2 linked regions of the Cricetulus griseus genome follow. The protein of the gene in region 1 purifies or fractionates together with the protein of each later gene. This does not show direct contact. Links are inferred from orthologs where the notes say so. Each region holds a gene or a part of one and is shown on either strand. Other genes may lie near its edges.

Region 1 (4,321 bases):
TCTGTGAGTTTGAGGGCAGTCTGGTCTACAGAGTGAGTGACAGGACAGCCAGAGCTACATAGTGAGATCCTGTCTCAATACATTTCTTTTCATACCATCTTTTCTCAGTAAGTGTTGTTATAACTGTATGTATGTATAAACATATATATTCCTAAATACATAAATACAATCTGCCCACCCTGTATGCTTTGTATGTATATTTTCAGGGCTGACCATCTGGTATTGGATAATCAGTAGGTATTCTCAGCATTTCTTGGTTGCTTATAGCAGTTCTTTGTGTAGGGCTGAGGCCTTTGAGTTTTCCCCTATCCCCTTTGTTTTCTCTATTGTTGTTATACTTGCTCAGCTCATGTGTAGGCAGTCATGCTGGTGAGGTTTATGGATGTAGCTTTTGACAGTCTTAGGAGATGCAAACTCACAGCAAATTCTGTGTTCCTCTGACATTTAAAATTTTCTACCTTTCTCTTGCACAATGACTCCTTATCTTAGGTTCGAGGGTTATATTGTAGATATATCTGTTGGGATTGTACCCCACAACTGAATTTTGATTGTTTGTGGTTTTCGGTAATTGTCTGTTGCAAAGAGAAATTTCTTTTTCATTTCTTTTCTTTCTTTTTTCAATTTTATTTATTTAAATAAAATTTTGTTTCTTAAATTTTATTTATTTAAATAAATTTTATTTTTAATTTTATTTATTTGTTTTTCGAGACAGGATTTCTTTGTGTAACCCTGGCTGTCTTGGAATTAGCTCTGTAGATGAGGCTGGCCTCCAACTCAAAAGAGATCCGCTTGCCTCAACTTCCCACCCTGAGTGCTGGGATTAAGGGCGTGAGCCAACACCTGTGGGTATAAGGACAAACCATTAGAATGTAGTCAGCTGCTGTTGTTATTCCTATCTATAGACAAGGAAACTGTGACACAGAGAACGCAAATTGCCTACCTCTAGAGAGGTGAGCAGTCTGGATTCAAAGCAACATCCGTTGTGCGCTCTTACCGGTTTTGCAGACAACAAACCATGGTGACATGCTTAAGCTAAAATCCCAGTCTAATAAGGAATGGTGACAGCAAAAGTTAATACGGACTTGATATGTTCCTCTCATCCCCAAGAAAAGAAAGAGCATTAGCCAAGACCACAGAATGCTTATTCCCTAAACATGAGAGGCGTTTCACTGACCCCCAACGCTGCTTCCTAAAATGGTCAGTTTGCCTGACCTGAACTGATTGGCAGACAGGTTTCAACAGGGAGGGGCCCGGCTCTGCAACTCAGTAATTAAATTCCAAGAAGCGCGGGAGATGCCAGACCAATAGACGGGATCTTTCGGGTCGCCCTCGGAAATCTGGGCCGCGGCGTCATCAGTTCCGGGACGTGACGATAGCTCCTGCCTTGAGCCCGCCCCTGGTGATGACTCTGCGCTTGTGCACGCCTAAGAATCCGGGAGTTGAGTCCTAGCCCCGCCCATTGTCCCGGAAGTGAATACGGAAGCGCCTCACACCCCTCAGCCGGCTGGGGCGCAGCCATTTTAATTCATATCTGAGTGGGCGGTGGCGAATCGTGTGGCGGCTCTGGCTGTGCTGGGCAGGGGGTAGTGTTACTGGTTTTAGGGGGTTGTTTTTAGCTTAATTTTTCCTTTCTAGCTTCCCATTGCCGGCCAGTGAGTACGCTGTAATCCCCTGAGGCCATGTCAGGAGACGCAGCCGCGGAGCAGGTGAGGAGCGAGAGCGGTGGGGCCTCGTGGCGACCTCTTTCTCTCTCCGGCCCTGTGGGTGCGAACACTCCAGCGGTGCTGGCGTGAGGAGGGGCTCTGGAGGTCTGGTGAGCCCGGGGGGCCGGGGACGCCAGAGCACCCCCTGAGGGCTCCTAGCATTTTGGCTTTCTCCGTGGCGTTCATAAGGACCAGCATTTGACTCATACAACAGCTGGGAGGTTGCTTCGCCCCGTTTTCGCAATTCTTCGGTCCGGACGGTTTATTTGATACCATTTTGGTGTTCCGGTAGTTCGGATTTTTTTTTTTTTAACGTGTACCTGTCTTGGCAATATTTCCCTCTTCTGCTCCCTAGTTCCACCCACCCCCACCCCCAAGAAATAGAAACGAAACCAATCTAGAAGGTAAAAAGCAGCATTCCAGAAGCAGAGAACGGCTATGCCGAGCTTTGGGGAGAATTTTGTGGATTTTTCTCCCGCTTTTTTTTTTTTTCTTTCTCTCTGGTCTAGGAACACTTTGTTTTTACTTTTGCGGCTACGCAGACTTTGCAGGGTTTGATACATTGGAAACAGGAAATGTGCTTTAGTCACTGTAGGCGCCAGCTGTTTGAATGGTAGCTATGAGTGATATTTAAGTATTTTAAAAGTCAGAGTTTTAGAAATGAGATCTTCCCTCTTCCTTTTGGCTTTTTTTTTTTTTTTTTTTTTTTTTTTTTTTTAAGGTAGGGTTTTACTGTATTGCCCTGACAAGGCGCGACCTAGTGACGTCTGCTTCCTTGGCTTCGTGCTAGGATTAGCTGGGAATACTGACGAGCATCTCCACGCTGGGTTCTTTACTCTTTTTATAGCCTGAATTTTGTAGGATAACATTTGCCTTTTATTGTAAAAAACAAAAGAAACTGGTTTTATGAAAGATTTTTTTCGATCTTGATCCTAGTATTTTTTGGGGGGAGGGGTTTGAGGCAGGGTCTCTCTGTGAAACAGTCCTGGCAACTCATTCTGTTAGACCAAGTTGGCCTGGAACTCAGAGATCCGCCTGCCTCTGCCTCCCTAGTGCTGGAATTAAAGGCGTGCGCCGCCGCCACCACCACCTGGCCCCTAGTATTTTTCTTTTTTTTTTTTAAAAGAAAGGTAGTCCAGCGAAGTCCTAAATTTTCTGTTGGTGTAGCAACGAAATACGCTTGTATTTTCTTTTTTTCAAGTTCCCAGCTTATAACTGGAAACTACTGGAGGTTAATGGGTGACATAAATTTGTTAATGAAGTGTGGGTAGTCTATAAATTTAATTACTTTGGGAAAGAGCAAAATTCATGTTTTCTTGAGGACCGATTTCATCCTTGAAATATTGGCAATGCTTTTGCCCTTTATCTAACGTTGGGATGCTCACGAATTAAATGTCTTTGAATTATTTTATCAAAATTGTTTCTTTTACTCCATTCTTTTTCTGGGCTATTTTTGTTTTCTGAAAGTGAAGCAAATATTGGATGTGTCTGAAATTTATTGCTTTATATGAGATTGTAAAGACAAAACTATTGCCACAATTTTGTTTACAAAACTGTTTTTTGTTTTGTGTCATCCTGTTCCGCCCCAGTTGGAGATTGAACCCAGGGCCTTGTGCTTTCAGGGAAGCGTTCCACTGCTGAGTTATAGTCTCAACAAGAAATGTGATGTCTTAATAAAAATTTAAAAATCTTTATCTTCTGACCCCCCTTTTATTTTGACAATGTCGCTGTGTGGTCCTGACTGGCATGGAACTTACTGTGTAAATCAGGCTGGCTTTGAATTAATGGAGATAGCCTGCCTCTGCCTTGTTGAATACTAGGAATAAAGACAGTGCACACCACCACAGCTAGCTTTTTTTTTTTTTTTTTTTTAATTCAGGAAAATACTCTTACTCAGGCTTGCCTCCTTTGAATTTTATTGTGCAGTTTACAACAAAAAAAGTTGAAGAAGAAGTTCGTAAACACCTATTATAATTCTCATTGAACCCAACAATGGTTACAGGTTTTGTCATATATGTGTATGTGGTGATATATTTTATATATTGTTTTACACATGTGTGTTTACACATGTATTTTTTGTGTATGGTGGTTCTGTGGCTCAAATCAAGGGTGTTGCTCATGTTTGGCAAGCCCTCTGCTACATGTTTTCTTTTTCCATACACATTTCCCTGAAAGCTAACATATCACACTTCAGTCCAAACTATTTCAACATTCTCTTATATAATGACATTTGTGCTGTTATATAACTACCATACCATTATCCCACTCAAAATCTAGTTATACCATATTTCTGTTTTATTTTTTCTAGATAGGGCCTTATACAAGTTTGAGGACAGGCTAGCTTCAAATTCAGTTTGTAGCTGATGATGACCCTAAACTTCCACCTCTAGGTGGTACTAGGATCCTAAGTTCTCTCCAGTGCTCCTGGCTCCATAATGATGTACTTTTTGTTTTGTCTTGTTTTTCGAGACAGGGTTTCTCTGTAGCTTTGGAGCCTGTCCTGGAACTTGCTCTGTAGACCAGGCTGGCCTTAAACTCAGAGATTACCTGCCTCTGCCTCTCCAATGCTGGCATTAAAGGTGTGTGCCACAACTGACTGGCCGATAAAGATGTATTTT
Region 2 (4,076 bases), on another chromosome or scaffold:
TCATCAGGAGACTTATATGTAACTCAGTTCACACTACAACTGTCCTGCAAAACCACCACAGTTGGGACCAGGCAAGGATACTAATAGTTTCAGAAGGGTCAGATAGATCAATGAGGCATCATCTTGAGTTTTCCCATAAGAGCTCTAAGGAAAAAAAAAAAAAAAAAAAAAAAAAAAACTCTATTGCTACAAATTTTACCACAGACTATTAGCTCTAATGTTTCAAAAAATAACTAAAATATTAACCTTAATACGGTACTCTATTGCCTTTAAAATAGAATTAAGTGTTTCGGTTTTCCAAAAAAAGTGTATCTTCACAGTTTGACATTCAGTTCAATATACAGCCAAAAATCTTTAAACTATCAATATTGTAACAGGCCACTTTCAATTTTAATGTAGTTCCCAGTTTACTCAATATTTATAAAATACAGCTAACAGAGTGCAGACATGTTATTATTGCTGTATCTTCCTATACCACCTTATTTGGTATGCTGTCCTCATTTCCAGGGTTTCTAGTGGAGTTAAGTGACAAAGTGAATAGGCCCACTCCCTCCACTCCCTATCCTCAATCAAAAAGAAAAAGGAAAACAGAAAGTAAAAAGACTAGAAATAGGACTAAGGTCCAGGGAGAGGGCAACCTTCAATCATTAAAGTATGGGAACACAGAAGACAGCTTTTTGCACCACTTTTCATGCCACACAATAAACACTGAAGGGATAACTAAGTACTTCCTAACCAAAAGCCTTTCAAGAAGCACCAGTGGATTTCTGGATCTGTTCCTTTAAAATCAAGATACTCTGCCTTTGCTCGGGAGGCAGCATGGCAATCTGATCTGCAGTCAGCTGAAGAACCTGCATGATCAAAGCTGCTTTTTCCTGATCTTGTGGAGTTACCTGACTTTGCCCAGGGCTAAAACTGCTAGGCTGGCCTCCACCTTGCTTACTCGATCCTTGTATCCCTGCTTGCATGCCTGCTCCCTGCATCCCCGCTTGCATGCCAGCTCCCTGCATCCCTGCTTGCATGCCAGCTCCCTGCATCCCTGCTTGCATGCCAGCTCCCTGCATCCCTGCTTGCATGCCTGCTCCCTGCATCCCTGCTTGCATGCCTGCCCCTTGCATGCTTGCTCCTTGCATTCCTCCTCCTTGTATACCTGCTCCCTGCATCCCTGCTCCTTGTATGCCTGCCCCCTGCATACCACCTCCAGGATTTCCCACTCCTGCAATGTTTGGAACCTGTCTAGGTCCCTGAGGGCCACCTGCCCCCATATTAATGGGGCCAGGACCCTGGATTCCACCAGTCATCGGGCCTCTGGAACTAGGGCCAGGGCCCCTCATCTCTAGTCCTCTTGCTTCCATCCCTCTGGTCTCCATTGCGCAGGTCTCCATTCTTCTCTCCATTCCTCGTGGCTCCAAGACCTCGGTTTCCATGGGTCGAGTCTCCATTCCTCGAGACTCTCTACCTCCTCTACCATCCATAGGTAGACCTCTTTGATCTATCATGGGACCTCTGGGCTCTCCAATTAGCATTCTGGGATCTGCTGCTAATGGTCCTCCTCTCATGTCATGCGAGGAAGGGCCACGGCTGTCATGACCATGGTGCATAGGGGGACCTTGGTGGGGTGGGCCCATATAACCTCTGGGTTCTACTTCTCCGGTAACTGAGAGCAAAGTCCCTCCGCGTGGGTCATTTGGAGCATCTCCCAGTAGTCCTCGAGGAGGAATGCCACCAGAAGGCATGGGTCCACGAGGCATTGGAGGTCTAGGATCTGACATCTGCATTTGTCCTCGCTCTAAGGGCACTGGCATGCCAACCTGTGGCTGCATTGCTCCTGCTGGAGTTAAGGAACCAGGTCCAGGTCCGGGAACTGCGGCTGGTATTGGTCCCGGAGCTGGAATTCCTCCTTGTATAGAAGTCTGCATCAGAGGAGGAATGTCCTTCACAGGTCTTCTTGGCAGATGTTGAGGCTGTGGGGCTGGAGGATTCTGTTGGTTCAGCATAACATTGGGTCCCGGGCAGAGCCCAGGGGCAGTGGCAGGGCCAGGGCCAGAGCCGGGGCCAGGGCCAGGACCACCTGGGCCAGGGCCAGGGCCAGGCTGAGATTTGCCTGGGATCAGTGGTGTGACATGTATCTTGCGATGCAAAATTTTCAGTGCAATCTCTGGATCCATGATCCTCATCACCACCTGGGCCTGCAGCAGGGCATACGCCAGTTGTGGGTTCTGAAGCAGCATGTTCCGCGCTTCCTGGTGGCTGTTTTGGACACACAACTTCATTTGCTTCATCAGCTCAAACATCTGCTCCGGGGGCAGGCTGGCGACTGCTCTCGTAATCGACTCTGGAGCATCTTCTGGATCAATCGGGTCCCCATAGGGGGAGTCGATGATGGGCGCTGCCGGGCCCAAGCTCTTTAACTCCTCCTTGTTCTTTTCACTGGCAGCATTGTCCACCCGAAGCGCTCTCCCACTAAATTCGCGCCCATTGAGGTTCCGCATGGCACTAAGCGCCGTCTCCTGGTCTTGGTACTCGCAGAAGCCATAACCCTTGGGCTTTCCTGTCTCTCTATCGTATACGAGACGGAAACTGACAACCGAACCAACCTCCGAGAAAATGTCCTTTAACTGCTCCTCCGTCGCCTCATACGGGATGTTCCCCACGAACACTGAGCGCAGTGAACGATCCATGGCTGGGTCTCTCACCGCCAAACTCGACATGATTCCGGTCGAGCACACAGCGGAGAGCAAATCCGTCCAAGAGCCGTCCTCTGGCGAGCCAACCACACTTCCCCTGTGTAACGGAAGCAGGTGTCAAACTCCGGGGAGAAACCTTTCCGCTATAAGTCCATAGTTCCGCTAGGCCGCAGAAACCGCTTCCTAAGACCGGACTAATTTATCTAACGCCTTCCGCCTCCGGTCGCGCGCTCTTCTGTCCGCGCCTGGTTACTGACAGCGTGTTTCCTCTCCATGATCTTATTGGTCAAATTTCTCCGGCGTCCCGCCCCCTCTTCCTGCCGTCACCGGATGCATTAGAACTGACCACATTAAAGATGGCCGACCGGGCTTCACTGTGGTAACCGTAGCGTCGGCCTTCCCAGAGGGATGGGGCGGTTTTTCTTTGCGTTCCACGAGCGGGAAACCGCCAAACGAAAGCTGATTTAAGGCTTAATGTTTAAATTTCTGATCCATGTGTTTTCACAGATGCTTCCGTTTAGTGTAGAATGTTTGAAAGATTTAAAATTTTGTTCCAGATTATGAGGTAAAATGTTGATACCTGTACCTTAATATTAAAACACCTCCTTAAATATCAATAAAAGAAAATTAATGCCCAGGGAGACAAACTAAAGCGTCTGTCAGCTTCAGCCCCGCCCCCACGCTATGGCTTGTTGAAACTGTTATAAGATGCAGGATCCTTTCAGGTTTTTCTCTGTGTGCTCAGGCAAAGTGCTCATTCCTCTACTTACTAATATTATGCTAAATTGGAATTAATTGAAAAGTATGGCCGAGAGTATAGATTTAATCGAATTAATTTAACTTTTATTGTGGACATTTAGGTAGTTTTGATTTTTAAGTTGTTCTCTTTGTATTTTATTTTGAGTTACGGTCTCTATGACGTGGAGTCTGTATAGTCCTGTGCTCTCCTGAAGTTCATGATCAGGCTGGCCGTAAACTCACAGAGATCCACCTGCTGCCTGCTTCTGCCTCTGGAGAGTGCTGAGATTAAAGGCATGCTCCACCACTGGTTTTGTTGTCCTTGTTGTTGTTTTGGGGGGTTTTTAGACAAGGTTTCTCTGTGTAGCCTTGGCTGTCCTGGAACACTCTCCATAGACCAGCCTGGCCTCCACTCACAGAGATCCGCCTGCCTCTGCCTCCCGAGTGCTGGGATTAAAGGCGTGCACCACCACTTGCCCAGCAGCATATGTTTTATATTTGGTTGTGAATTTATTCAACAAATCAAGATATCAGGTTACTAAAATTAGTTTTGCTGTCTTAACACAGGGCTCCTCTTCAGACCAGGTTGGCTAGGAATTCACTATGTATGTAGTTCAAATGGTCCTCCAATTTGCAGTCCTCCTGTATGCC

The links.
Region 2: the proteins of Cstf3 (region 1) and Cstf2t purify together in Homo sapiens (co-immunoprecipitation; 4 studies listed by BioGRID and IntAct, counting the BioPlex papers as one, with this or other methods). This does not show direct contact. The link is inferred for Cricetulus griseus from reciprocal best matches to the Homo sapiens genes CSTF3 and CSTF2T.

What each region holds. Positions count from the first base shown.
Region 1 is NC_048599.1:73,080,864-73,085,184, reverse strand, and holds the start of Cstf3 (cleavage stimulation factor subunit 3), read left to right. Parts: upstream 1-1,479; 5' UTR 1,480-1,679; coding exon 1,680-1,706; intron 1,707-4,321. UniProt on the Homo sapiens protein: One of the multiple factors required for polyadenylation and 3'-end cleavage of mammalian pre-mRNAs.
Region 2 is NC_048596.1:30,364,214-30,368,289, forward strand, and holds the start of Cstf2t (cleavage stimulation factor subunit 2 tau variant), read right to left. Parts: upstream 2,816-4,076; 5' UTR 2,712-2,815; coding exon 747-2,711; 3' UTR 1-746. UniProt on the Homo sapiens protein: May play a significant role in AAUAAA-independent mRNA polyadenylation in germ cells. Directly involved in the binding to pre-mRNAs.